Linked DNA regions of Canis lupus familiaris. The protein of the gene in region 3 interacts with the protein of the main gene of each other region in a biochemical or structural test. Links are inferred from orthologs where the notes say so. Each region holds a gene or a part of one and is shown on either strand. Other genes may lie near its edges. The genes, in order: TGS1, THRB, NCOA6, HNF4A, PPARG, ESR1 and RXRA.

What was found.
Region 1: the proteins of NCOA6 (region 3) and TGS1 form a complex in vitro, tested with the Homo sapiens proteins (2 studies listed by BioGRID). The link is inferred for Canis lupus familiaris from reciprocal best matches to the Homo sapiens genes NCOA6 and TGS1.
Region 2: the proteins of NCOA6 (region 3) and THRB form a complex in vitro, tested with the Homo sapiens proteins (2 studies listed by BioGRID). The link is inferred for Canis lupus familiaris from reciprocal best matches to the Homo sapiens genes NCOA6 and THRB.
Region 4: the proteins of NCOA6 (region 3) and HNF4A form a complex in vitro, tested with the Homo sapiens proteins (2 studies listed by BioGRID). The link is inferred for Canis lupus familiaris from reciprocal best matches to the Homo sapiens genes NCOA6 and HNF4A.
Region 5: the proteins of NCOA6 (region 3) and PPARG interact in a test that uses a peptide from one of them, tested with the Homo sapiens proteins (2 studies listed by BioGRID). The link is inferred for Canis lupus familiaris from reciprocal best matches to the Homo sapiens genes NCOA6 and PPARG.
Region 6: the proteins of NCOA6 (region 3) and ESR1 form a complex in vitro, tested with the Homo sapiens proteins (4 studies listed by BioGRID). The link is inferred for Canis lupus familiaris from reciprocal best matches to the Homo sapiens genes NCOA6 and ESR1.
Region 7: the proteins of NCOA6 (region 3) and RXRA form a complex in vitro, tested with the Homo sapiens proteins (5 studies listed by BioGRID). The link is inferred for Canis lupus familiaris from reciprocal best matches to the Homo sapiens genes NCOA6 and RXRA.

Annotation. Positions count from the first base shown.
Region 1 is NC_049250.1:7,736,830-7,740,903, reverse strand, and holds the start of TGS1 (trimethylguanosine synthase), read right to left. Parts: upstream 2,801-4,074; 5' UTR 2,398-2,800; coding exon 2,294-2,397; intron 1-2,293. UniProt on the Homo sapiens protein: Catalyzes the 2 serial methylation steps for the conversion of the 7-monomethylguanosine (m(7)G) caps of snRNAs and snoRNAs to a 2,2,7-trimethylguanosine (m(2,2,7)G) cap structure.
Region 2 is NC_049244.1:19,936,910-19,941,089, forward strand, and holds the start of THRB (thyroid hormone receptor beta), read left to right. Parts: upstream 1-1,380; 5' UTR 1,381-1,395; coding exon 1,396-1,723; intron 1,724-4,180.
Region 3 is NC_049245.1:24,403,259-24,407,350, forward strand, and holds the start of NCOA6 (nuclear receptor coactivator 6), read right to left. Parts: upstream 2,801-4,092; 5' UTR 2,657-2,800; intron 1-2,656. UniProt on the Homo sapiens protein: Nuclear receptor coactivator that directly binds nuclear receptors and stimulates the transcriptional activities in a hormone-dependent fashion. Coactivates expression in an agonist- and AF2-dependent manner.
Region 4 is NC_049245.1:32,510,052-32,513,551, reverse strand, and holds part of HNF4A (hepatocyte nuclear factor 4-alpha), read right to left. Parts: intron 2,297-3,500; coding exon 2,122-2,296; intron 830-2,121; coding exon 735-829; intron 1-734. UniProt on the Homo sapiens protein: Transcriptional regulator which controls the expression of hepatic genes during the transition of endodermal cells to hepatic progenitor cells, facilitating the recruitment of RNA pol II to the promoters of target genes. Activates the transcription of CYP2C38.
Region 5 is NC_049241.1:6,222,751-6,226,250, reverse strand, and holds part of PPARG (peroxisome proliferator-activated receptor gamma), read left to right. Parts: intron 1-198; coding exon 199-649; intron 650-3,500. UniProt on the Homo sapiens protein: Nuclear receptor that binds peroxisome proliferators such as hypolipidemic drugs and fatty acids.
Region 6 is NC_049222.1:42,770,821-42,774,320, reverse strand, and holds part of ESR1 (estrogen receptor), read right to left. Parts: intron 3,186-3,500; coding exon 2,951-3,185; 3' UTR 1-2,950.
Region 7 is NC_049230.1:50,625,113-50,628,612, reverse strand, and holds part of RXRA (retinoic acid receptor RXR-alpha), read right to left. Parts: intron 1,870-3,500; coding exon 1,737-1,869; intron 264-1,736; coding exon 172-263; intron 1-171. UniProt on the Homo sapiens protein: Receptor for retinoic acid that acts as a transcription factor.

The DNA.
Region 1 (4,074 bases), on a different chromosome or scaffold from region 3:
AATAAAAATTAGTTATGATATTAGGTTTTATTTCCTGCCTTTGAGGAGAGGTGTACAATAACCTTACTTAGTATGAGAATCAACTGAATACTGAGAAGGAATTAGGCACCTATGCTAATGCTCATTTTTTGTTTTCTGTTACATGGACTATTTTTTCCGTTTAATAATCTATTCTAGAATTTTGCTAACAACTGATCTGTTGTTTTAAGACTGTGAAAGAGACCTTTTCCCTACCAGGTAAGGTTATACAAATAAGCCTGTGAACTTCCAGCATGTCTCCAAGTCCCAAAGACTTCTCAGTGACTATTAGAAATAATTCCAAGATCACATTCTTTTCGTTCTAAAGGGTCATAATTTGGGCATTAAATGATCTAAAGTTAAAAGCCATTATTTTCTCTTTACCTATTTTGAATTCAGAATGTAGCTTCTAAAAGTAAGTAGGGCTTTTAAGTCTTAAGAATGCATAAGAAATTATCTGAAATTTAAAAGATGAACCTTTTAGTTCAAAAAGACTAAATTCAGGGGCACCTGGGTGGCTCAGTGGTTGAGCGTCTGCCTCCAGCTCAGGTCATGATCCCCGGGGTCCTGAGATCGAGTCCCACATTAGGCTCCCCACAGGGAGCCTGCTTCTCCCTCTGTGTGTCTCTTAGGAATAAATAAAATCTTAAAAAAAAAAAAAGGACTAAATTCAAAGTAATTGGTGATTTGCATGGCAATTAAAGTGTATTTTATTTTATTTTTATTTTTTTTTCTTAAATTTATTTATGATAGTCACAGAGAGAGAGGCAGAGACACAGGCAGAGGGAGAAGCAGGCTCCATTCACCGGGAGCCCGATGTGGGACTCCATCCCGGGTCTCCGGGATCACGCCCTGGGCCAAACGCAGGCGCCAAACCGCTGCGCCACCCAGGGATCCCTAAAGTGTATTTTAAATAAAGGTGCTTTAATTAAAACCTAGTATTATTGTTTTGCAGGAGTCCAGCAAGACAATTTTTCTCCACTTTTTACAGTTTCTAACTTAGGTTCCCTCTCCTTCTTTTTGGAAAGGAGGCTTCCTGAAGACCATCCCAAGACTCAACCCAGCTTCAGGCTAAGAAGTAAGTGTGTAGCCTTGGCTTTCTTTTTCTTTTCCTTGTACACAGAGTTCTGCCCGTCACTCCCTCCCACTCAAATATACCCCAGTTTATTCCCACTCTTTAGACATCTTTTCAAATGCTACTTCCTCAAAGAAATCTGTGATCTGTGGAGAAACGTTAGGTTTTTGCTATCATATATAGCTGCGCTTCTCTCTTACAGCTCTTACAACAGTGCTTAGCTAAATACTTATGTAACTCTTGTCTTAATATCGACCTCCTTTGCTAGAAAGTAAACTCAAAGCGTGTAGGGAGGGCTGTGTCCTGCACCCGGGTGCCTACCAGTGTGCCTCATACAAGGAAGCACAAGAGACATTTGTGGAGTGAATATATGCATGTATACATACAAAGACGACAATACTTTTTAAAGATAGCGTTTAATTTCCCTTTGGATCAATTTCCCGATTACTCCACAAAGCACGACCGACAGCAAGAACGTCTTCTCACTTAAATTCTTCCACGGTAACGTATATTAGAAGTCTAGCACGCAAAATTCGCTTCCACAAGTTGAATCCAACCACCAGCCTGTGTGATAACTGGGGTCGAAATACCTGTTCTAGGGATGAAATAAAGATCCAAGCGGCTAAACTTACACACCTAAGACAAAGAAAGCCTCCCTAGAGTCCAATCCTTGAGTCCGTTTTTTCCTGTTCACTGGCTCTCTTCCATGCAGGGCAATTTTTACCTCAAACACGTATTTTCCAAGAATATAGCTCCAAAACTGACGTGATTATAATTAAGTCTTTTATCTCGGGTAATTAGAAGTTCTTTTTAAGCGCATTTGCACTTTACTAAGACTTAAGGTCTTAAAAAATGTCAACCAACAAGTCACCTTAAAGCCTTCAACCTGTGACGTCACATCCACTAAGATTTCATCTTACATTTCATTCGCCTGATCTTAAAACGTCCCCCCCCCCGCCCCCGCAATAAAGCGGAATAAACCAGCTGCCACGTTTCCCCACAGCAGCCCACAGAGCAGATGTTCTCTTTCACTTAGGGGCAGTGGGCGACCTGTCCGTGAGGTCCGGGGGCTCTTCCTGAAACATCACCCTGTGCAAATCTTACACTCGGGGCGGGGATCCCAATTCCGAGTCGTTTGCAAGGCCCACGCTTCTGGGAAGCAACTGTGCCAGGGATGAAGGGGAATAGGCTCTGACTTACTCCACAAACGCCCTGGAGCAGAGGCAAAGGATCCCAGCATCCTCCTCCAGGTCCTCGACGAAGAGAAACATCTCGGCCACGCGGCTCCACTTCTCGCAGCACATTTTACCTCAGTGCAGGAAGCCCTGCGGGGGGCAGCCCGGCACCGGCCGTCCGGACCTCTGCTCGGCTCCTGGAGGCCCCAAGGGGGTCTGGCCGGCGCGCCCGAGGGGATGTCAGGGGTGACGAACCCGCCCGGGGCCGCTCGAGCCTGGAGGGCGCCGAGAAGCCGCCGCCGGAAGTGGCTCCGGGCGCCCACGGGAAGGGGCGGGGCGAAGGCGGTGTCACACTCTGCGCTGTCCGGGCTGCAGCCGTGGTTCGTCTTGTTCTTCACCGGCTGCTCGGCGGGGAAGCCGGCTGCTGAAATTTCTCCTCTTGCCTGGGTCGCTGAGCCACCGAAGAGCTCCCGCCGCTGCTCGAGGGTGAGAGCGAGCCGCGTCTGCCCTCCCCGCTCCCTCGCCCCCGAGGTGCGTCGGTCCTCATCTCGGCCTCCCCGCGCTCCTCCCCGCCGGGCGCACGTCGCTCGTCAGTGGCGCGGGGCTCGGAACGCCCAGGCCGCGCTCCGGGTTCCGGGGGGGGGTTCCGGGGGGGTTCCGGGGGGGGGGGGCGGGCAGCCCCCGGAGTCCCCCGCGGGACCCGGGGCGGGCCGGGCTTCCCGGTGCTCGGTGTAAGGCCGGGCGGTGGGGAGGCGGGGAGGGCTGGATATGCCTGGGTCACAACGAGCCGGTTCACCCCGCCGCGCATCCCCCGCCCCCCCGCGCCCCAGAGCCCTGCTTGGTCTCGGCTTGGGCGGCGGGGCAGGGTTGTCGCGACGTCGGCAGGGGTCTCGGGGCTGGCCCGGCCACCTTCTTCCCGGATCCGAGTCGAGCCTCGCGGTGATGACGGGCGTGTGCACTCGGGAGGCAGCGGAGATGGGTGGTTAAGGCGGCTTCCAGACGCGCCGGGCTTGAGTCCGGGTGTGATGCTCCTTCGCTACCTGTGGGATCCGGGCCAGCGACCGAGCCCTTCTGAGCCTCCGTGATAGTCTGGAGAACGCGAACGTCGACTGGCGCCTGCTTCCTGGGGCTGCTGGAAGGACCAGATGAAGCCGTGTCCCGCAGACCTCTCGTGCACCGTGACTGGTGTTAGGGGACAGCTGCTTTGTAAGCCCCAGGCGCTGCCCTTGGTCCCGGGGTCTTCAGCCTTAAAACAGGGCTCTGCCCGCAGCTGCTGGTGCAGGGTGGGGAGGATGCAAGGGCACGGAGCCAGCAAGTCGGGAGCTGGACCGCCCCTGCTGGGTGTGGGAAAGGCAGTTAGGACTTGGTGTGTGCTAGTCGTTGAGACGGTCCACGCAGCTCCCTCAAAGAGACAAGTTCAAACTTGAAGGTGGTTGGAGCATTTAGGACTTGGTTGTGCTATTAATGCCGGAATGGCATTGTTACTTCGTTAAAATGTATAGAAACTGAGTTAAAATCCGGATATTTAAGACAGTCCCAACTATTTTGGTCGCATTTACTATTGAATGGAAATGGAAGATGGATTTTCAAGTGAAATGTTTATTTCCACGTCCTTACTGCTGCTGCCTCACTTTAGTGTCTGAGATAGGCTCCTTTCAGTGACTCAGGGCTAGAGTGGTGCACAATTAACAACAAATACACCAGTGTAGATGTACAGCCTCTGGGGTTTGAGGGTAGGTTAAGAAAAAAAGGTAGACTAGTAATTGTCAGAGGGGAAGATTTTAGCTAGAAGTTGGAGGACGTTCT
Region 2 (4,180 bases), on a different chromosome or scaffold from region 3:
CCAACAAGGTCACACACTCATGGGCCAGCAGGAACCCAAATGTAAATGTCACCCCCTGAGTCCCAGTCCTACCAACTAAGTCTCTGGAAGAAAGAGAAAGAACCCCTAGCTTCAAAGAAAGCAGCTTTGGCCCTTACTGAATCATGATCTAGAACACGTGCATATAGTGGACATACACGTGCTTATCCACCCCTTAGTAATCATCTTAGCAAGCAGTTAGGGTCTAATTTGATATTTGTTCACATCTTAGTTAAAAGATATGGTGATTCATATGGAAAATGCTTTTCCCTCTTTAGAAGGTCACTGTCTTTAAACCTCAAGCACATGAATACTACTTAAATCACATTTAAACTTAAAAATGAACCCAAAAGCAGATTTGATTAGAAGAAAATGGTGAATGTACACTGTTTCCCACAAACTACCTCTAAGAGTGCCGTTAAGCACAAACGGAGGGGGAACTGCCGTAAGAGAGGGAATTCTTCATGAAAGCGTACCAGCACATATACTCTCCCTCGTGTGCTTATAAAGAAAACATAAAAACCGAATGAGCAAAGCTAAATTAAGCTTTAGGTCTCATGTAGATTAGTGCTAATGATGTAGAAAATTATCAGCTGCAAGGAACAAAACAGAACTCACAGACACCAGTGGTGTTTTCAGAAGTGGCTTTCCTTTCCTTGGCATGTTGCTAAAACCTGTGGAACCTGTGTGTCATTAGGAGGATGGTTGGAATCAGTAACATTCAACAGATTTAACCACCAACATTTGCATGACTAGATTAATGTTTTGGAGTCAGTCATCAGGCTCGTTACTACTGGGATTTTCTCTGGGTCATGCTAATAAACCGGATTATTGATTTTAGGATTTTCTGCGTATCCAAGGATATTGTCTAAGATGTCTTTACAATGTTTCATGCTTAAGTTGTCAAGCCACATGACATCGCAATGAGTAATCATTTTCTAATCACGTTAAAAGGGGTTAAAAAATGGCATATAAAATGAATCTTCCCAGATTCAGAGGAACAGGAGCATTCTTGCTGTTACTCTTCCAGCGGGGTGATGGTCATCCCTACCTGCATGCCATCTACCCCAGGAATTAGCTGCGTTCTCAGCTTAAGACCCTTTGATAGAAATCTGCTTTCCAATATGTTTGAATGGCAGGAGAGCCCAAAAGACAGCTCAATCTAAATAGGATTTTAGTACATCGGGTGCTATTCCAAAGTAAAGCAGGCTGGGGTTGCTGTGTGGTGGTGGTGTTTATTCATCTTTCCTTTTCATTTCATGCGTATGGATGGACACTTCTCGGCGTATATGCCCAGCTCTCAGGGTGTATGGGGCTGGTGAATGCATGTGTAGAGTGTGTGTATATGTAAAGTAGACACTGAGCCAGGGTAACAGAATGAACTACTGTATGCAAGAAGTATATGAAGTGCACCCAGCTGCCGGCAGCAATTGCTACATGCAGGCCACTGATTATTACACGTATTTCGAAGATAGTCCGGGTTACAGTGGTTGCAACGCTCAGGCTGTGCCCAGTAACAACATATATATGGAACAGGCCTGGGCAGTGAATCAGCCTTATACCTGTAGTTACCCTGGAAACATGCTGAAAAGCAAGGACTCTGACTTGGACATGGCCCTGAATCAATACAGCCAACCTGAGTATTTCACTGAAGAAAAGCCTACTTTTTCTCAAGTGCAGTCGCCATCGTACTCTCACAAAAAAGGTAGGGACCATTTTACTAAATTTGTTAAAAGTTTCCGTGTTTGTTTCTGTTGTGTTTTAAAGTTACAGTTTGCATCAGCTTTGTCAAATCTTTGACTTTAAGCGCTGTTTGAAATTAAAAACAGCAGTAAAGAGAGAGGTTGCTAGGTGATTGAAAGGGGTCCGTGAGCAATAAAGATTTCCAAGCACTTTTTTTTAAGCATATATGAGAGCTGGATTGAGCTGACTTTTTAAGCTGTGTGTGTGTGTGTGTGTGTGTGTGTATACATATTTAGATAGATAGATAGATAGATAGATAGATAGATAGATAGATAGATAGATGATAGATAGATAGATAGATGATAGATTGTGTGTATTGCCTAAAGTGAATAAGGTCAGTTTCTGTGCTAAAGAAAATATGTAAAAGGCTTCCCCTTGGTGGATAGGCACTGTGGCTTTTGAAGTGGGATAATTCTCCCCAGTTCAGGTTCAAATTAAAAACTCATTTGACTTTTTCTTGATATTTCATATTAAAAGTTCATTAATAAAATATTTTAGTGATTTTTAATGATCGTATACTGTTGATATATTAGGTTTTATAATTGTTCATCTTGATATGTTTACTGATCCATGTAAGCTGTGAAGAATCTACTCATGACCATATTAAGCTATAAGAATGTAAAACTCAAAAAGGAACTAATATGCTTTCTAATTCCATTTTGTCCCTAAAGTATTATGTGTCTGGAATCATGTTAAATGAATTCTCTATATGAAAGTAAGTAAAATACCCTTCAAAATATGCTAAGTGAAAACAAGTGCAAATCCATTTATCTTAATAGACACTGTAGCTTTACAGTGCTGTGTAATTTTCTATCAATGGAAAATTTCTTGTATACCAAAAAATAAAATAAAGTAAATAAGCAGGTAGTACACAGGAAACTCAGTAGCATCTGCCAGATACTTTGGAAATAGCTTAAATTCTATTCTATTCTTAAATATGCCATAAACTCTTTTTTTTCTGTGTACTATCTACAGGATATTGCATAGGAAACCAAATTTACAGGTTTCTGTAATTTGCAAAAATATGATGCCCTTTGATCCTCAAAGGTCAATTTCTCCATGAAATTATCTTAAAACAATGTGGCTTGGTTGATTGTGGTTCCTATAAAAATTATTTGTTTTTCTTAATGTGACTCTGTAATTAAAAGTAGCCTGTTTTGAAAACAAAGCCTAAAAAAAAAAAAAAACCCTCAAATTCCTGTTTAGTTTTTACCATATACTATGTTTGAATTTTCTGTCCTGTTCTCCAACTTCCAAATATGAAATATAAAGGGAATTATAGCAGAAAACATATTTAGAGTAATTTGTCTGCATTTTCCTCTAGTTTCACATCCTCTTGAAGGGTATCAGAATTTCTCATTTATCACATGGGGACACTACAGAAGTCCTCTAATGGGAATATTTGAGATAGGCTGAATGTGTGCTTTCTGTTTCATTTAATATTATACTTATAAGTAATTTATCTTTGAAAAGAAGAAGTTAACATTGCCTCATTAGACATTCCTGGATGTGCATTTCACAGTGTTGTGGGACCTCAAGACAATATTGGTGCCTGCCTCTCTATTGAGGCATTCTGCTATTCTTAAAAATTCCTGCAAAACTTTTCAGGCTCTTTTACTCTTTTGTTCTTTTGTCTTTACACGATATCTTCTTCAAGCAGGCTGGAGAATATTTGCTCATAAAACGTTAAACCAGATTCTTTGCTAATTAATTTGCCGCTTGAACTAGAGGCTAAGACACATTGTATGCATATATTGATGTAATTTCCCAAAGCCATATGCCATTGAAAGGCCACTGCCACCTGCCAAACTCACTAAATCAAAGCAGGCAAATATTCTTAAATGCGCCATTATTTACTGTTACAAGTCTCTAAGTAAATCCCAGTAAAACTAAACCCAGCTGTTAACTGTCTCTTTGGACAAAAGGTTGTACCCAACACGTTTATCCATATTGATCCATTATTGATTTTTGTTGTTGTTGGAGGACATCAGTAGTATCTCCTTAAGGCAAAATTAAGACTCTAAACAGGTGTTCAGTGGGGCAGACCTCATTATTCCGATTGGATTTTTATCTGTTTTCATGAAATTCGTAATTGTTTCATCTGGATTTGTCGCTGTCACTACGACGCTATAAACTCTTCCATAGTACAGCTGTCTTAACTTTGTCATTGTTTTTTTTAAAGATGGCTTATTCTTTAGCCCTTAATTGGAATTTTCTAGTATTTAGAAAATGATCATAATGCTTGTAAAAAAAAATGTACTGTCAGTACACATAGATGAAATAAAGGAAGACTACAGAATCCAATGTCAAGACTAGTTATCTTAATGGTAGACATTAGAATGATTTTAGTTCTCTTTGTGTTGTTTCTTGTGTGTTTTTACGTCTGTAGCCAAGCGAGTTCCTGAAGCATTGAGGGCAT
Region 3 (4,092 bases):
TGTTTATATGTTCATTTCTCTCATAAGATTGAATATCTAAAGTGAAAAGACCCTTCCTTAAAGACCTTTGAATCCTTAGAGCCTGGCATAATGCTTAGAATATCTTAGTGCACAGTAAATGTCTGCTGAATAGAAGATATGCCTGGTGGTAGGAGTAGGGTTTCTTAACCTGGGGTTCACAGATGGGAATCCACAGACAGAATTCAGAGGGGTCTGTGAACTTGGATAGGAAAAAAACCCCACCTATTTATTTTCACTAACCTCTAACTGAAAGTTACCATTTTCTTCAAATATAAATTGTAGGCAACAAACCACTCTAATATTAGCAGTATCTATGACAGTAACTGTGTCACAGTTACCACAGATATCTTTACATTATATTACAATTGTTGCTGATATCTCAAAATATTATTTATGTTCACCATGTGTTAAAATTGTAATTATCACACCCATCACTAGATCTGATTTCTTAATGTATTGATAAAGTATATCTATATCACTATTTTATAATTTGTGTATTTTGGTATTTCAATATAATGGTTTTCTCTATAATACAGTGTATTTTGTTTTACTCAATTAAAAATATTATTCTGAGAGGGGTTATTATCATTCTGAGCAGTTTTACTAGATGGCAGAGGGATCTACTGCACAAAGTCAGGCCTTCTTGCATTAGAAATATCCAGAATAGGGATGCTTGGGTGGCTCAGTTGATTAACCCTCTGTCTGCAGCACAGGTCATGATCTCGCAATTCCAGCATGGAGCCCTACATTGGGCTCCCTGCTCAGCGGGGAGTCTGCTTCTCCTTCTGCCCCTCACCCCACTCTCATGAGCACCCGCACGCTCTCTCTCAAAATAAATAAATTTAAAAAAAAAAAAAAAGATCCAGAACAAATGAATCTTGATGCTGTGTGTGTGGGGGTGTGTGTGTGTATATATATATATATATATACACACACACACACATATATAGTATAAACGCACTGGACATATATTGAAAATCTTACTTGCTATGTACATTTTCATAACCTTTTTGTTGAAAGTCCTTTTTGATTTTATGGGAGCCTGTAACTACTATTTCATAATATTTCATAGTTTCCCTCAGAATTCTTCCATAACCCATATGAACTCTGAACTCTTCTCTATCTTGATCAAACTTCAATTAAAGTTTGATCAAGATAGAAATCCTGGGTGTGTACCATTGTTCACTGTTATCTTTTTCACTTTTTGGTGTCCCTTTGCTGTAAACCCCTAGAACAGAAGGAGCATCTCTTAAAACTCTAAAAAGTTAGAAGTCAAAAGGGTTCTGAAGATAACTTCTTTGCACAAATGCAGGTAGGCTGGAAATGATCAAATAGCTGGTTACCAGTACTTTTTTTGTATTCCTCTTCAGTCTTTCTACTGACAAACTAATTACCAAAACAAAAACAGAGTAACCGTTCTTTGATATTTGCTGCTATAGCTCTCCTTAACAATTTTCTCAGAGCTAACAAATTCCACTAAGGCGGTGGACCTCCAGAGCCAGGAACTTGTGAGATCTTGAGGAGTCAACTTTATCTGGCTCAGCTAAAATCCTTACACGTTCTGAAGTTGTTCTGTGATCTCTAAGACCCTTGTAGTTTTCATTCACACATTCATTTTTCTACACCATTCTCACTGGCTTCAAAAAAAGCCTTTGTGATGACCTCCCCAGGTGACCCTGCTCTTAAAACAGTGGGCTGTCCCCTTCCTGGGAAGACACCTTGGGTCACCGCCCACAAACAGCCCGGTCCCTCCTTTTAAAGACACACACAAACTCCCTAAGTTGACGGAGGTTCTTTCTTCTTGCCAACCAGTTCCACCCTATGCTGGCCAGCTCCTGCACCCGAACCGCAGCCTCCCTTTTCTCTCTTCTCATCAGTCTTCCTATTTTCCACTGCTCTTCCTAATTGGGAGTGGAACATGCTAGGGGAACATATGTCCTCAGTCTCTTGGGAGTTGGACGACTTGCAATTCGGCCCCGCGACTCAGAGAACCGCTCCAATCTCATACTCGCGCCTGTATCCAAAGGGCCCCCATTTCTAATATTTCTAATCACAGCCTCCCCCCTCCACCCTCCGCGCCTCCACAAAGAACTGTCCCGGCTCTGACAGCCTGAGCGTGGACCCCACGCCCCTTTGGGTCCTGCCGGCCCCGAGGTCCCGAACGTGAATAGCCTGACTAAACTCCGGTCCTGGCCTCCAGCCTCAAGGACCCTGGCCCCAGTTCCGTTTGGACTCAGTGTCCCTTCTCGACCCCCAGCCACGACCCCACGTTCGGCTCCCGCCAGTTCCTCTGGCCTGGAGCGCCACCCCGTGCAGACCCCAGCCGGCCCTGCACTTCCTCAGCGCCCTAGACCCCGCGTCGCGCACCCTCCCCAACCCCGGCCGGCCCCCGCTCCCCGCAGCACCCCCGCCCGCAGGCCCGGGGCCCGCTCCCCAACATGGCGACGGGGACACGAGCGCGGCGGGCGGGGCGGCTCCGGGCCGGGCCCGCACAGGAGCCGTGTTCCACTGCCGGCCGGCGCCATTTTCCCGCGCCGGGCCCGGGCGGCGCCTCCTTCCCGCGGAGCCAGCGGGACCGGGACCCCAGACGCCCGGCGGGCCCACCCCTTACGGGCCCGCGTCGCCGTCACCTCACCTGAGCGCGGCCCCAGCCCTCCCGGGCGGGCCTCGGAGCACCGGCCCGGGCCGTGCGCGCCCGCCGCCCTCCGTGTGTCCGTCAGTCCGTCCTCGCGTGCGTCCGTCTGTCCGGCCGTCGGCGCCCGGCCGCCCGCAGCCCGACCCGGCAGGGCCTCAGGGAGCCGGCGGGGAGGGGGATGGGCCGGACCGGGCTGGGGAGGGAGGGGGAGGGAGGGAGAGAGGGTGGGAGCGCGGGAGGGGGCGGGGCGGGCGGGGGCGGGCCCTGGTCACGTGGCCAAACGTCCCCGAGAGCGCGAGGCGGAGCGCGCGCCCGCTCACTTGCGTGCAGAGCTTAGTGCCCGGGTCGGGAGAGTTTCTGTCTCCTGGAGCCTTAATATCATCAGTGGCTCTTGGCTCCGTTTCAGAGTAGTGCACAGCCTTATAGGAGCCCTCTGGCTGAGTGTGCTTGGGCAAGTCAGCGCTCCAAGCCTCAGTTTACATATCTGAAATAAGGGGATAATAATAGTGCTTGCAAAGAGGAAATGAAGACAAGGAAAGCACTTGGCACAATGCCTGACGCATAGTGTCCAATAACGTTAACGGTGATAAAGATAACCTTTAGCCTTTATTATTTGCCTATAAGTCCCTCTCTGCTTTTTCCCATCACCATCATGCTAGTAAGCTCAGTAGGTGCAAGAGAATGTGGCTCCTTCCCTCTCCCCAAATGTCCAGTACTGGAATTGATGTCTGTCGTACAGGCCTGGATTCAGAACTGGCTTTCACTCTTTTTTTTTAAATTAATTAATTAATTTATTTATTTATGATTGTCACAGAGAGAGAGAGAGAGAGAGAGGCGGAGACACAGGCGGAGGGAGAAGCAGGGTCCATGCACCGGGAGCCCTACGTGGGATTCGATTCCGGGACTCCAGGATCGCGCCCTGGGCCAAAGGCAGGCGCCAAACCGCTGCACCACCCAGGGATCCCTGGCTTTCACTCTTGATAGCTATGTGACTTTCTTTGCCTCTGAATCTCGGCTTATTCATCTGTGAAATGGGAGCTAAGAGTCTGTCATGAGCATCACAGGAGAGAGAAGATGAGCCGGTGGGTTGTAAACAACTGGTCAGGCATACTGATCTCATCTCAGAAAAGGAGACTGGAGTCCTTTCATTCCATTGAGCACACACTGTGGGCTTGAACTGGTGCAATAGTGATCCAAGGCCTTTTCACATCTTCCCTGGCTCCCCTTTAATCTTTTCTCCACCCTGCTGTCAGACTAATGTTTCTAAGTCAGAAATTTTATCATGTCTCCCTTCTATTTAAAACTATTTGGTGGTCCATATTGCTCTTAAGATAAAGGCCAAATAGATGTCTTACTGTTGCCCTTGCCACATCTCCAGACTTATCTTAGGGAGCTCTTCTTTTCTCTCTCGGCTGTGATTACAGTGATCTTCACAC
Region 4 (3,500 bases), about 8.1 Mb from region 3:
GTGCAGACCTCAGGTCTTGACCAGCTGTGGGGCCTCAGGTAAGCTGCTGAACTACTCTGGACCTCAGTCCTCTCATCCAGGAAAAAAGGGAATGACAATAGTGGTGGCCACATAGGGTGCCACGTCACTGGTCACTCTTATCAAAGCCCAGCCCAGTGGCTGGCATCTGCTGGTAGAAGAAGGGAGGCCTGGGGAGACCTTCACAGCTATTGTGCTCTGGTCTTCCCCTCTGCCTCCACCCAGGGCAAGTCTGACACATTGTTCCCACGCCATAGAACGTGAAAACTTGGGGTCACCCGATACTCAAGAGTGAAGACTACAGAAGGGGGGGCACTTATCCCTGGGACTGGAAGCTCAGGAAGAGAGCTCCCCCCACCCACACCTCACTGTGCACATTGGCTGAGTCTAGGTGGTGGGCACAGGGGCATCGGCAATGTCATCTTCGGCTCTCTTCCTGTTTGAAACAGTATATTAGAGCAAACGCCCAACTGGGCTGCCCATGGTGGTGGTGGCGGCTGGGAACCTGAGTAGCCCAGAGTGAGAGCTTATCTCTTTCTCAAGACCAAGCCCAGCCCCTCCCTGTGGTCAGATTGCCAGGCCCTCCCTCCTCTCAGCCATTAGCCATTCACCCTGGGGCCTGTCACCGAGTCATAAAGTGTGTGGCCCCAGTTGTAAACGTCCTCAGACTATGGGTGGGGGTGGGGCAGTGAGGTGGAAGGGGGGCCGGGGCTCACCTTCCTTCTTCATGCCAGCCCGGAAGCACTTCTTTAGCCTGCAGTAACGACACTGGTTCCTCTTGTCTTTGTCCACGACGCATTGCCGACTAAACCTGGGGAGGGCATGGATGGTTGGATGGAGAAGGGACAGCCCGCCTGAACGGAATCCTGGCCATCCCAGCCTTGACTCCCAGCCTCCTTGCCTCCTTGCCTTAGGACTCATGCTAACCATGAGAAAGGCCCAATGGACTCCAAAATTCTAGCCCTGTCCTGCTGAGGCTCAGAGAGGTGACACGAAGTCTGGGATGGCAACCTGATGGCAAAACTGAGCTGGAACCTCTAGCCCCTTGAGAACCAGGGACAACTCTTTCTACAACATTCTAGGAAAGTGCAGAGCCCATAGCAGGCTCCTGGTTATGGCTCAGAGTCCATACTTGGTCCACAGAAGTGACTCTCTGGAGGGGACTGTAAGCAGTAGTAGTACCCCACAGTGGTTAAGGGTGGCACCCTGAGCGTCAACATGGGTCTGCCATTAACTCAAGTTGGATGACCTTGGACAGATTCCTGGCCCTTTCCAAGCCACAGCTTCCTCATCTACAGCAACCATGTCAGAGGCGTGTTGATGGGTAGAAATGAGATAATATGTGGATGGGACTTGGCACAGCATCATTCTGTAAATGACAACTACTCATAACTGAGTGCTATTATTTTATTATTGTTACTCAGAATGGGAGGTGTTGTCAAAGGAAGCCTTGGAAAGTCCTTGGGATAGGTAGAAAGGCCCAATGGACTCTAAGAATCAGAGATTGGCCCCAGGAAAAGCTCCAAGTTAGGGGGATGGGCCCCATCCTCTGAAGCTTCAGAGGAAGCTTGATCCCAAATGGATCCTCATTTGCTAAATAGGAAAAATAGGGATCCCTGGATGGCTCAGTGGTTTAGCGCCTGCCTTCGGCCTAGAGCATGATCCTGGAGTCCCAGGATCGAGTCCCACATCAGGCTCCCTACATGGAGCCTGCTTCTCCCTCTACCTGTGTCTCTGCCTCCCTCTCTCTCTCTCACTCTCTCTCTCTCTCTCATGAATAAATAAATAAAATCTTAAAAAAATAAATAGGAAAAATAATGATGGGCTTGTAGGGCCAGTTAAATACACACAAAGACTCAGTATATCTGGCATATAGTAAGTGCTCAATAAAGGGCAGTTGGTAGCTTTATGAGTGAGGCTCCTAGAGAGGATGTTCCCATCAGGATCCCTGAGGCACAAGAAAGCAGAGGAAGCTTAAAGGCCTCAGAAGGCAGATGCTTCTGGGACCCAGTCAGGGAGAAGATAGATTCTGGGGAATATCATTAGCCTCAGTGCACCCATTTCCCAGCTAGAGAAATCGGGCTCCAAGCAGGGGCTCCTCACCTGCAGGAGTACATGTGGTTCTTTCTCACGCTCCTCCGGAAGAAGCCCTTGCAACCGTCACAGCTCGAGGCACCGTAGTGTTTCCCTGTGGCCCGGTCCCCACAGATGGCACACAGAGCGCTGACCCCCAGGCTGTTGGGTGCGTTGAGGTTGGCACCTTCGGATGGGGATGTGTCTGCACCAGAGGAAACAAGAGTAACACCTCAGGACAGGCAGGAATTCACTTCCCAGAGGCTCTGCTCCCCTGATGGCTTAGATCCAGAAGCCAATATGAGCATTGTGGGGATCTCCACCACAGGGCTTCAGCCTCATCCAGACCCAGGTGCTGTTCCCACTCCCTCAATGACCTTGAGCAAGTCCCTTGGCATTTTGGAACTCCTATTTTGCATCTATTACTTAGTGATGGTTGTGACATGGCTTCAGAGTCCCTTGCGAGGGTGTGCTTCTCCATGGTAGAGGCTGCAAGGCCGTTTCCTCTGGGAAGTAATGAGAACCTGGCCACCCACTAGGATGCATCTGACTCTTAGGGACCCCAACTGACTGGGCAGAGGGTGCCGTGGAAGGGACAAATATTCCCCTATCATCTGCTCAGAACCTGCTCAGGTCCTGTCCCTCATTTCTCAATGTACCCAGAGGCCTTGAAAACTCTCCCAGGGAATGGGAAGACGCACATAATGGCCCATTTGTCCTCCTGGGAGGGTCATGGCAAGGTTCTGGGCATCTTTCAAATACCACCTGTCTCAGAGGCAAAAGCTTGCATCTGTATGAGAAGGGTGATAAGAGGCAGGTGGCAAAGATCGTGGATGAGGTGCTTAGGGTCCTGGGTGCTAGTCCAGATGCTGCCCCTAACTCACCTGTGACCTTGGGCAAGTTTCTTTTCCTTGCTTCAGGTCCCCTAGGCCTCAGTGTCCCTACCTGTAAAAGGCAACCAGTTCAACTGGTCTGGTTGTTTGCCTTTTGCCTTTTTTTTTTTTTTTTTTTTAACTTTCAGTAGCTGAACCATACTTTTGTAAGCAGATCTTCCATCAAGGATAGACCTCTTGGAGAAGATGATAAACACCATGGACCATCTCCTCAGAAAAATGCGTGCATATGCACACCATGCAGGCATATGCACACATGTTTTCATATATCTATGACTCCGACCTTGAATTCCTAGGGAACACCCCACTGAGAACTGGAGGGGGCATCATGCTGCAGTCAAGAGCACACACTCTGTAGTCCTTCTGCCAAGCTTAAGTCTGAGTTTGCCCACATCTTAGCCGTGTGACGTTAGCTGTAGGAGTTTACTTCTCCATGTCTTTGCTTCCTTGCATGTGAAATAGGGAGCATAATAATCCCCTAAGACTGTTATGAGGATTCACTGAATCAATGTATAT
Region 5 (3,500 bases), on a different chromosome or scaffold from region 3:
AGCTTGGTAAAATATGTTTGGTTCCAGAAGACAATTAGGAGCAATAATCAGGAGATGAGAGTACTTTCTCATTAAGTATCTTCAACCTTAAAGATTTTAGTTAGCGAAGCAAATGTGTATAAAGAAACTGGAATGGGATTCACCCTGAATTAGAGATCTCCAACTCAGCCACTTCCCTTTTTTTTTTTTTTTTTGCAGCCATTTGTTATCTATGACATGAATTCCTTAATGATGGGAGAAGATAAAATCAAGTTCAAACACATCACCCCCTTGCAGGAGCAGAGCAAAGAGGTGGCCATTCGCATCTTTCAGGGGTGTCAGTTCCGCTCAGTGGAAGCCGTGCAGGAGATCACAGAGTACGCCAAAAGTATCCCTGGTTTTGTAAACCTTGACTTGAATGACCAAGTAACTCTGCTAAAATATGGTGTCCATGAGATCATTTACACGATGCTGGCGTCCTTGATGAATAAAGACGGGGTTCTCATATCAGAAGGCCAAGGATTCATGACAAGGGAGTTTCTAAAGAGCCTGAGAAAGCCCTTTGGTGACTTCATGGAGCCAAAGTTTGAGTTTGCTGTGAAGTTCAATGCACTGGAATTAGATGACAGCGACTTGGCAATATTTATAGCCGTCATTATTCTCAGTGGAGGTAAGATGCATCTTTTGATCTTTCGTGGAAGAGGGTGGGACAGCAGTATGATAATTGGAAGAATTTTGACATCCTTTTCTCTGTACTGCACTTTCATGCAAAAATATGCCAGTGGCATGATGCCATGAGAGCATCACTACACAGGTAAAGTACCAGGAGAGAAGATCATAGATTTGCTGTTGGAAGGCTGTGGGCAACCCCAGCCTTTCCAGTCAAATCCAAACATGAAAAACAAATGCCCTCTTCTTCTTTTTTCTCCTTTTTTTTTTTCCTTTTTATTTTCTTTTCCCCTGTCTTTTCCCACCCCTCCCCTTCTCTCTGTTCACTCTCCCTTCTCCTTCCCTTTCCTTCCCATCCCTTCCTTCCCTTCCAGCCAATCTATTCTTCATTTCATTTAAGTAATGACATGTACAACTTTGCTTAAGTCACAGTGCTCACTTGGCATAGAGAGAGCACAACTAAGTGGTTTGGGGCAGATTTTGTTCCTGCTCTACCATCAGGAAGATATTACTTTGAATTGCTTTCCTAATATCAGGAATCGAGTAATATTTATCTACTGACTTCCACCTATTCCCTCAGGTAGATTTATCTGATGGCTTCCCTTAAAGTAACTTTGTGAGGTGGTTGGCTGTGATTAAAAATATAATCTGAACCAGAGAGCACAGAGCAGAGAAATAAATTGAGTTATTTAGCAATTCATTGTATTTTTGGCCTTGCAAGTACATGATCTAACTGACAACTCCAAAGCCAGGTTTTATACTAAATGCTACTTTCATTGGCTACTCCACACATTTCCAGCTTATGTAGAAAGTTTTACTGTCATGTCTCTGTATAAAATTGTCTTTAAGCAATGAGTTTTCATTACTGAAATGGACTTCAGGTGAGCTTTTTGTGTGTACTCTACAGACAGAGGATACTCTTGGCAAAAGCTGACGTGGGGAGGGATGGTGGTCCTATAGATGTAAACTGTAAACTATATAAGATATTATAAAGAACATGGTGTACTCTGTCCTCCTTTGTTGTCCAATTACTTGAGAGCAGAATACTTCTGAAATCGGGTGCCTGATTACTACTAATAATAATGATAGAAAACACTTAAATACCTACTGTCTTCTAAGCAGTATCCTAAGCACATGATACACGTTCACTTAATTCTCCAGCCCAGCAAGAAAAGTACGTTTTGCAAAGGAGGAAGCCAGAGCCCTGAAAGGTTCAGTCACTTGCCCAGGGCTACGCAGCTAACACAGGATAGAACCAGGATTCTGAACTCCGGTAGTCTGGCTCCAGAGTCTACAGTAATACTGCCCTTTAGGTAACTTGGGTGCAAATAGATGACAGTGCAGCCCAGGTTAACTCTGGAGCCTCCACTGCAGTGTCAAGTTGTAACTCCTTTAAAAATGGTGTTTGGGGGGTTATATTTAATGTAACAAAAACTACTGTCCAACATGTTGTAATACCTTAACTGAATCTACTTAAACAGATCACCCCTCGATCCTCTGGGATCCATGATCAATTCAGCAAAGAAGAATAAGATTCTAGTTTATTTGAGGTGCATTAGGAGAAGAAACTTAAATTTTGAAGCACTAGATGAGAAAACAGGTTGTTATTGCTTAGCTAATAATTTGAGGCACATTTTATTTTTTTTAGGCACATTTTATTTTTAATGCAAAATAGAAATATTAACAGTTGATATGTTTCTAAGTTTTTTCCTGAGCATACCATATATTCCATGTTTATATTCAGTCATTTTCCCCACGTCATTATGTACTCTTTGTTAATATTTTTCATTAATTTTTGAAAATAAAAGTAATACGTGGTCATTTCATAATTCAAAGGGTACAGAAAAGTGTGAGTGAAAATTAAAGGCCTCTGTCCTCAGAATAAAATAAGATTAACAAAGTCCTATTCCTCCTCCTGAAAAGTTTCTGTCCATGTGCTAGCATATATATGTATACACACTACCATTTTAATGACTATAAAATATTCCATTTTAAAAAGGACCATTATATACCAAATAATCTCTTTACTTATTTTTTTTAAGATTTTATTTATTTATTCATGAGAGAGAGAGAGAGAGAGAGAGGCAGAGACACGGGCAGAGGGAGAAGCAGGCTCCACTCAGGGAGCCCGACGTGAGACTCGATCCCAGGTCCCCAGGATCACACCCCAGGCTGCAGGCAGCGCTAAACCGCTGCACCACCAGGGCTGCCCAATCTCTTTACTTAGGATTGCTAATTTAAAAACCTATCAACAAGAACATAGAAAATATCAAAAATGTGTTCTAAATTTTTGTTTTAGTGAACATTATTAAGTGTAAATTTCTGTTGAAATTCCAAATTATTTTCTCATTCTAAAGTACCAGAAGTGGAATTGCTGGGTAGATGATTATAAATATTTTGTTACATCATTGCCACATTGTTCACCACAACATTTATGAGTTTATATTCCCACCACAGATATACTAAAGGAAACATTTGAAATAAGCTATTCGAAGATGATTAGTTGCTAGCCAGGGCAGGTTTACACAAGAAACAGTCATGATAATTCTGGACTTTTTTGAACAAATTTTGGGTTTGTTTTGTTTTGTTTTGTTTTGCTTTTTAGGATTTATTTATTTTAGAGAGTATGTGTGTGCAAGCAGGGGGAGGGGCAGAGGGAGAGGGGGAGAGAGAGAATCCTGAAGCAGACTCCCCACTGAGCACAGAGCCCTATTTGGGACTCTATCCTAGGACCTTGAGATCATGACCTGAGCTGAAATCAAGAGTTGGCCACTTAACCAATTGAGCTACCCAGGCGCCCCAGCAAGCAATGTTGTTTTATGGGCCTGTGAGACAACAGGGTGTTTTCATCT
Region 6 (3,500 bases), on a different chromosome or scaffold from region 3:
ATGGCCAAAAGAAACCCAGACCACTAGCTACTCCGTAGATTGTGCGGACGCTTGTTCTTCCATAGAATTCCAGCTGCCATTTTAGAAATGCTTGTCATTTGTAGTTCACAGGGCACAAGTGGAATATGGAACTCTGGTTCATACTCCAGGTGCCAGAACTGATCTGCCTCAAAATATTTCAAGGCTCTTATTACTGTATTTCCCAGTCTTGAAATTCCTGAACCTACTTCCCCACCCTACCCTAACCCCCCAGGTTGATTACGTCTTTCAAAACTTAAATTGCCTCAGAGTGGGGGAGGGGGGCGGAATTCAACATGTTCCCTACCCCCAACAGCAGTATCAGCTGCTAAGTGTCAGCTGTCCATTAGTGGCACTTCAAATAAGAATAAAAAGAGATATCTAAAATTATTTGAATTTTGCTGTGCTAACATTCCAACTATCTGGTGTTCTCTGCCCATTTCAAATGTAGTAGTATCTTTAACATGAATACAAACACATTAGATGAATAATGCAAAACCCTCCACTTCATTATTGTTTGGATTTAGCTGGTATTACATCATCTATAGTACTAGAATTTTTTTGTCTGTTTTTATTTTTTTAAAAGAAAATCTAAGTATAAACATTAAAAAGAACCCACTGACCCATTAGGTACTGTCCAAAAATATTACTACTGATATTTTGGTAAAGCAAAATTAGCTGCCCTGAATAATTTTCCTTTGCAGGCATAATCTCTGCTACATAAGATTGTCTATCGTTCGATATCCAACAATAGGCATCTAGATTAGTGCTATTTTGTCTACTGTGGATATAAAAGTTGATATGAAATGTGATCTTCATTAAAATGAATAATCACCAGGCCCTAGGCATCAATGACTGCATACATGACAAGGTAGCTATACAAAAAAACTAAATATCTTTTGTTGATTTTGCACATTTAACCCAGTCAAATTAAATCCAGAATGGAATTACTACATTCAATTGTCTGATAAACAAGCATTGTAATTTCAAAAAAAATATATATTATACTATATAAGGTGCTTCTTAAACAAAACAACAACAAAAGAATTATGTTCTAAACATATTCTTACTGCAGATACACAATATTGCCCCTAAATTCAGATGCGCATATATAAAAAAAAAAACAAAACTTTTTTTTGGCCCTCCCAGGCTCCCAGTCCTTTGGTGATCACTTACTAAGTAATCAAAAATGAAAGAAATCCATTTTTTGAAACAGGCATCCCAAGAGAAGCCCTAGAAGCTTGGCTGGGTTGTTCGCTAACCCATCACTTCTCAATGGGGTTTGAGTTATAGACAATGAGGTCACCAGAGGAAACCAAACTCACTGAGAAGAAAGATAAACCATAGATGATCTGGAGAAGGAAAGGCCTAGGGAAGGCTGCCCTGTGGCTGGAGTGAGTCTTTCTTGTTTAGCCTATAGGTCAAAGGATTCCTATAGCCCAATTCTAATCTCGCTCTCTTGGCTTATGAAGTTTAATGAAATGAGCTTTGGGTAAAGTTTTTTCTCCAAGACCAAACCGTGGTTTTTGGATGAGCTCTAAACAACCAAGAGCAGGTAAAGTTTGACCAGATCCCAGGCAGCCTGAGTAGTGAGCCTCCTATCCTCACCCTCCAGCCTCACCTAACCACGTGCAGGGCCAGCTGTAGGAATGCAGCTGTCTTGTCTATTGCTGTTCCTTCCAATCATGGGGGCAAGAAGAGGAGGGCTGCCCATGGATCCCAGGGCTGCCCCACAGTGCACACAGGGCCTGCCAGGGCCACTCCTGTGTAAAGCTACAGCATGTGGCAGAGCCACCGTGAGCCTCTCAGTTTTAGTTTCCACCCTACTTTCCTCCTGTTCTCTAATATGTACAATAATTGTGCACGTTTACTATTTACCCAAGTGCCCTAGGGCTAACGATGTCACCAGGTACCCACTCATTTAAACTGCCCTTGGTCATATGCTGGGCACTATTACTAATTGACCTTCTGTGTCAGTTACACACCAGGAAGAACCAAGCAGAGCGCCCTCTGCTGGTAATTGTGAGACCACGCTAGAACAGGTTCTGAAGCTGATTTACAAGTCCTGCGGGGAAAGGGCTTTCTTTCATAAAATGAAAACAAAAAAACAAAGGCCAAGAATTTATCCCTTAAAAGGAAACTGGTATATGTGGAGGTGACTTAACTGGGATCAACTTGCTGTTTTCCATAGATCCATGGGAAGCAAGAATTAACTGGAACCCATGACCTGTACATAGTGTTCTCAAAAACCAGTGGAAGAGCTTTCAGCAAATCTGAAGGTGCAGTGTATTAAGTTGACAGAGTTTTGACAATTAGGGGACCTTCCTTCTCTGTGGGCATCTTGTATTCCTATAGGGCAAATGAAGAGACAATCACTGCATATTCAGCTCCAGCCATGCAACAGAGCAAAAGCTTTAAGGTATTACTTTAATAAAATGTTACATTACTACAGGAATACAAGATGATGCCATAATGAACCCTTGACCTAGCTTTCTCCAAGTCAGCAAATTAAAGGGGCCACTTTCAAGTCTTTCCTGTGGCTTTTTCTTAGATTTGTTAAAAAGTGCTTCACAGAGATGAAATGTCCACTCTCCAGGTCTGGGTCTCAACAAGTAGCTTAAATGCACAGTCACCTGAGTCCCAGCTCATAGACTGAGTTCCATCATGAAAAGCTATAGAATCCTCATGCTTAGTATTATAGCAAAGGGAGAGAGAGAGTGAAAGAATTTAGCCCTGGAATCCCTTTGGCTGTTCCCAAAAGAAGGCGTGCCACTAAGAACTGAGCAAGCAAACAAATGGCCACTCATATTAGAAAGCCATGGTGGTGGATGCATGCTGGAGTGTGCGCAGGAGCAGAACTCTGCTATTGTGATACATGACGTGGGTAAAATGGTACAGGGATTCTCAGGACCTTGGGGTAGCCTGGGAGCTCTCAGACTGTGGTAGGGAAATTCCCTGCCTCCTCGGTGATATAATACGTTTGCAAGGAATGTGATGAAGTTGGGCCCGTGGTGGCCAGCTGGCTCTGGTTTGTCTCCTCCATGGGCACACCCCCACGGCTGGCTGGGGCGTGCAGGCGGTGGGCATCCAGCATCTCCAGCAGCAGGTCGTAGAGAGGCACCACATTCTTGCACTTCATGTTGTACAGATGCTCCATGCCTTTGTTACTGTGGGTGGGAAGACACACAGAGGGACCACTTTAGAGTAGCGCAAGCCCTAGAGCTGCTGCAACCCCTCAGCAGGGACCAAAGTAAGGGAAACTCCAAAGACACCTGTAGGCCAACCTATCTCCCTGTTTAAAGAGCCATTTCAGGATTTGCTATACAAGTGATTTCCTTCCACTGATTCCAATAAGGTTCTATTCCCCACTGTTAGCATTGTATCTAAAAAGAGAACAGAGGCCATATGGCCATGTAGGAGGGAGGTCTTTTTTTTTTTTTTTTTTTTAAGTATAAAAGTGGTTCAAGAACTTCCCTTCCTTC
Region 7 (3,500 bases), on a different chromosome or scaffold from region 3:
CAAGCACGGCTCTCGATCCACCCCCCCGCCCTCCACCCCCCGCTGCATGCAGTGGCTGCCGTGCGTCCCACTCCTGGGAGCCACAAGAAGAAGGCGGCATGGCTAGTCTGCAGCACGAGTGGGCTTCTCGGGCCCGAGGCCGGACGGCAGGCCATGCCAGGAAAGCTGTACCCGGGTTGAAGAGGACAATGGCACGCAGGCAGCCCAGCTCCGACTTGTCCATCTGCATGTCCCGCATCTTGGACACGAGCTCTGTCAGCACCCTGCAGAGGAAGCAGGCAAACACCACGGCCTGAGTCAGACCATGCCCCTCACCAGGGCACCCCCGCCCCAGAAAGACCCCCAGGACGGGCTAGGGAGGCTGGATGGGGACCAGGGAGCAGCTGGAGGACAGGCCCCACCCCCCGGGATGCTGCCCAGCCCAGGACTGGGGCTCCCCTCCCGCTCTGTCAGAGGGCGGGACTCTGACCCAAGCCTGACTGGCCCGCCCCATGGGGTCCCAAATCCCCAGCCTGAGCTCCCCGACCCCATCAGCCCAGTCTCTGGTTCCCCAAACTCGATGGCTGTGCCCAGGAAGTGCTAAGTGGTCAGTGAGGCTGGACCATAGGGAAACAGAGGACAGTGGCCTGGGGAGGGCCTGGACGGTCACCCCAAGGAGCCAGAGTCCCCGAGGGTCTGCAGGCTGGAGAGGGACACGGTCCCCTGGAGACCGAAGACAGGGTGGGAGGGGACGGGCGCTCGGATGTCCACCACTCTGTGGCCAGGGGATGCCCTGAGGCAGGGGTCACAAGTTCCACACACTTGAATGGCAAGTAGCTGGTTCCCTGTGCCGCTGCTCCTTGGGTAGAAGCCCAAGCCTCTGTCCCTGTTACTGCCCTAGCAGCTGGGAGTGTGGCGGGGCTGCGTTTCTAAACCAAAGTACCATCCCAGCACTGCACTCTCTACAAGGGGCCTCTGGGGGCACTGAAGTGCCATACTCCCAGCAGCCTTTGGTGGCTCCTCTCTCAAGGCCCTGAGAAGTACTGCACAAAGACACACCACCTATCCCCTGCAAAACCAGTGCTTGCCAGTGTATGTGGCCACAACCCCTACTTGCACTTGGCACATCCCAGTGGGCTCCAGGGCTTCCTTCTCCGTTCTACCAGAACTGCCCGCAGGGCAGCACAGTTCCTGCATTCACTTTCCTGTGGGTGATTCCCGGGAGGGTCTGTGCACCCTTGACCCCAGGCTCTTCCGCTCGGGGGTTCCCTGGGAGCCCTGCCACCACCTTCCTGCCCCCATGGCCCACAGTGTGTCCCTCCCGGCCCTTCCTCCTCCAGCGGGCTGAGTGGCTGGGGAGCAGCTAGAATGGAGACATGCGGCCGCCCCCTTGCCCAGTGCTGCCCCTCTGCTGGGGAGCCAGGGGACGCAGGGGTGCAGGGAGGCGCGCGCCCACCTGCGGTCGGGGAGGAGGAGCAGTGGCACACATGCAGCCGAGGGCTTGCGGCTCCAAAGACCCAGGGCCACTGCTGGACTGCACCTGCTGTATAACCTCCGCCCAAGGAGCACGGCGCCTCTTTCCACGTACGGGATACAGGATGTTAAAGAAAGGAGCCGGGAGGAAATGAACCCTCACATTACGCTGGGGTCGTCAAGTCTCCGGTGGATGGACGTGCAAAGGCTTGAACTTGTGTCCTTGTATGCCAATTTCCATGTCCACATCCACACCCTCCACGAACCTGGCCCGGGGCACCCACCTGTCGAAGATGGCGCCCACCCCCGCGCTGTGGGCACTGTTCCGGTGGACGTGCAGTCCGGTGGCCAGAAGGATCCCGTCCTTCACGGCGATGGACCGGTGGGAGAAGGAGGCGATGAGCAGCTCATTCCAGCCTGGGCGGGGAGGGGAGGGTGCACGGTCACGTGGCTGTGTCCCTCCCCATGATGGGTCGGCCACTCCGCCCTCCATGGGCCGCACCAGCACAGAACACCCCACTGCAGGTGCCGCGGACCCCGAGATTCTGAGCCACATGCCAACTAGGGCAACAAGTTTCCCAAGAAGTCCTGCACGGAGCATCCCCTCTGGCTCTGTTCAACCCAGGTGCTCCCAAGCCCATGTGCCCAGGAAGTCTCCTCCCACAAGTGCCGGACACTCTTGCCATGGAGGACAGAGGGCCTCTCTGTGGAACACCACGGGGCAGCTGCTGCCAACCTGGTCTCAGCAGCAAACTCTCAGACTCCCATGTGCTACGGGGGGCACCGCAAAAGAATAAATTCTTAAACTGACATAAGGTGTGTTAAAGCCTCAGGCGAACCGGACAGTATTTTCATGAGATCCCGGTGCAGACAACTGGGGTGGGTGTCAAGGGTTACGAGAAAGTATGGAAGCAAAACTTGAAATAGAAATTATTTCTGTGCTGGGATCTCAATGAGTCCTGTGGACGGGGAAGCCCCAAGCCGCTTCCACAGGTGCAGCACTGACACTGCCACACTCCCCGGGCTCCGTGACTCATGGCCCCACACAGCCTGTCACACATCATCCTGACTACAATCCTACAGGCCCAGGGCAGGGTAGGGGTTACCCTGTCATATGGTGAGTAAGGGCGAGGACCCAGGCCTCTGCCGCCCCTACCACCTCCCCTGATGGCTCTGGGTGTGGGGATTTAGCCCCAGCTAGAGGGAAAGCTCTTCCAGAAGGCACGCCCTGCCCCAGGTCCCCTAGGCCCCCAGGCACCCAAGCCCACAGGCCCCCAGGCATCTAGGTGCCCCCTAAGCCCCCAGGACCCCAAGCCCATAGGCCCCCTAGGCCCACAGGCCCCCCAGACCCCCAAGCCCATAGGCACCCAAGCCCACAGGCCCCCAGGCCCCCAAGCCCACAGGCCCCCCCAGGCCCCCAGGCCTCCAAGCCCTCCAAGCCCCCAGGCCCCCAGGCCCCTACGCCCCCAGGCCCCCCAGGCCCCTAAGCCTCCAGGCCTCTAGGCCCCCAGGCCCCCCAGGTCCCCAGGCCCCAGGCCCACAGGCCCCCAAGCCCATAGGCACCCAAGCCCACAGGCTCTCCAGGCCCCAAGGCCGACAGCCCGGGGACAAGAGTTCTGCCGGGGGCAGAGCTGGCCCCAAGTGCATTTTCCCCCCACTGCGGATCACTCTGGAGTCACTCTGTCTCCCTGCCATCCATCCCCCACAGGGCATGCCCAGCCTCCTCCTACCTCTGGGCCGGCTGCTACCTCTCCCACTGCCCCAAGCACACATGGGCTGCCCTGGGATGCTCCCGCAGCGCCCAGCACTGGCCTGGCATACAGCTGGTGTCGTGCAGCCTTCCGCCGGTGGTGCACTTGGCAGCACCCAGCTCGTGCAGGTGGCCCAGTGGGGCAGGAGGCTGGCTCGGTGGGGGGTGCTCCCTGCCGGCCCCCACTGGAGGCCCAGCACCAGCACACCTGGCTCACCTGTCCCTCCTGCCCCACTGCCAGGATGTGCACTGAGGACCCTGGTCTCAGCAAAAACGGGTCTCCACTTGGTACGCCTGT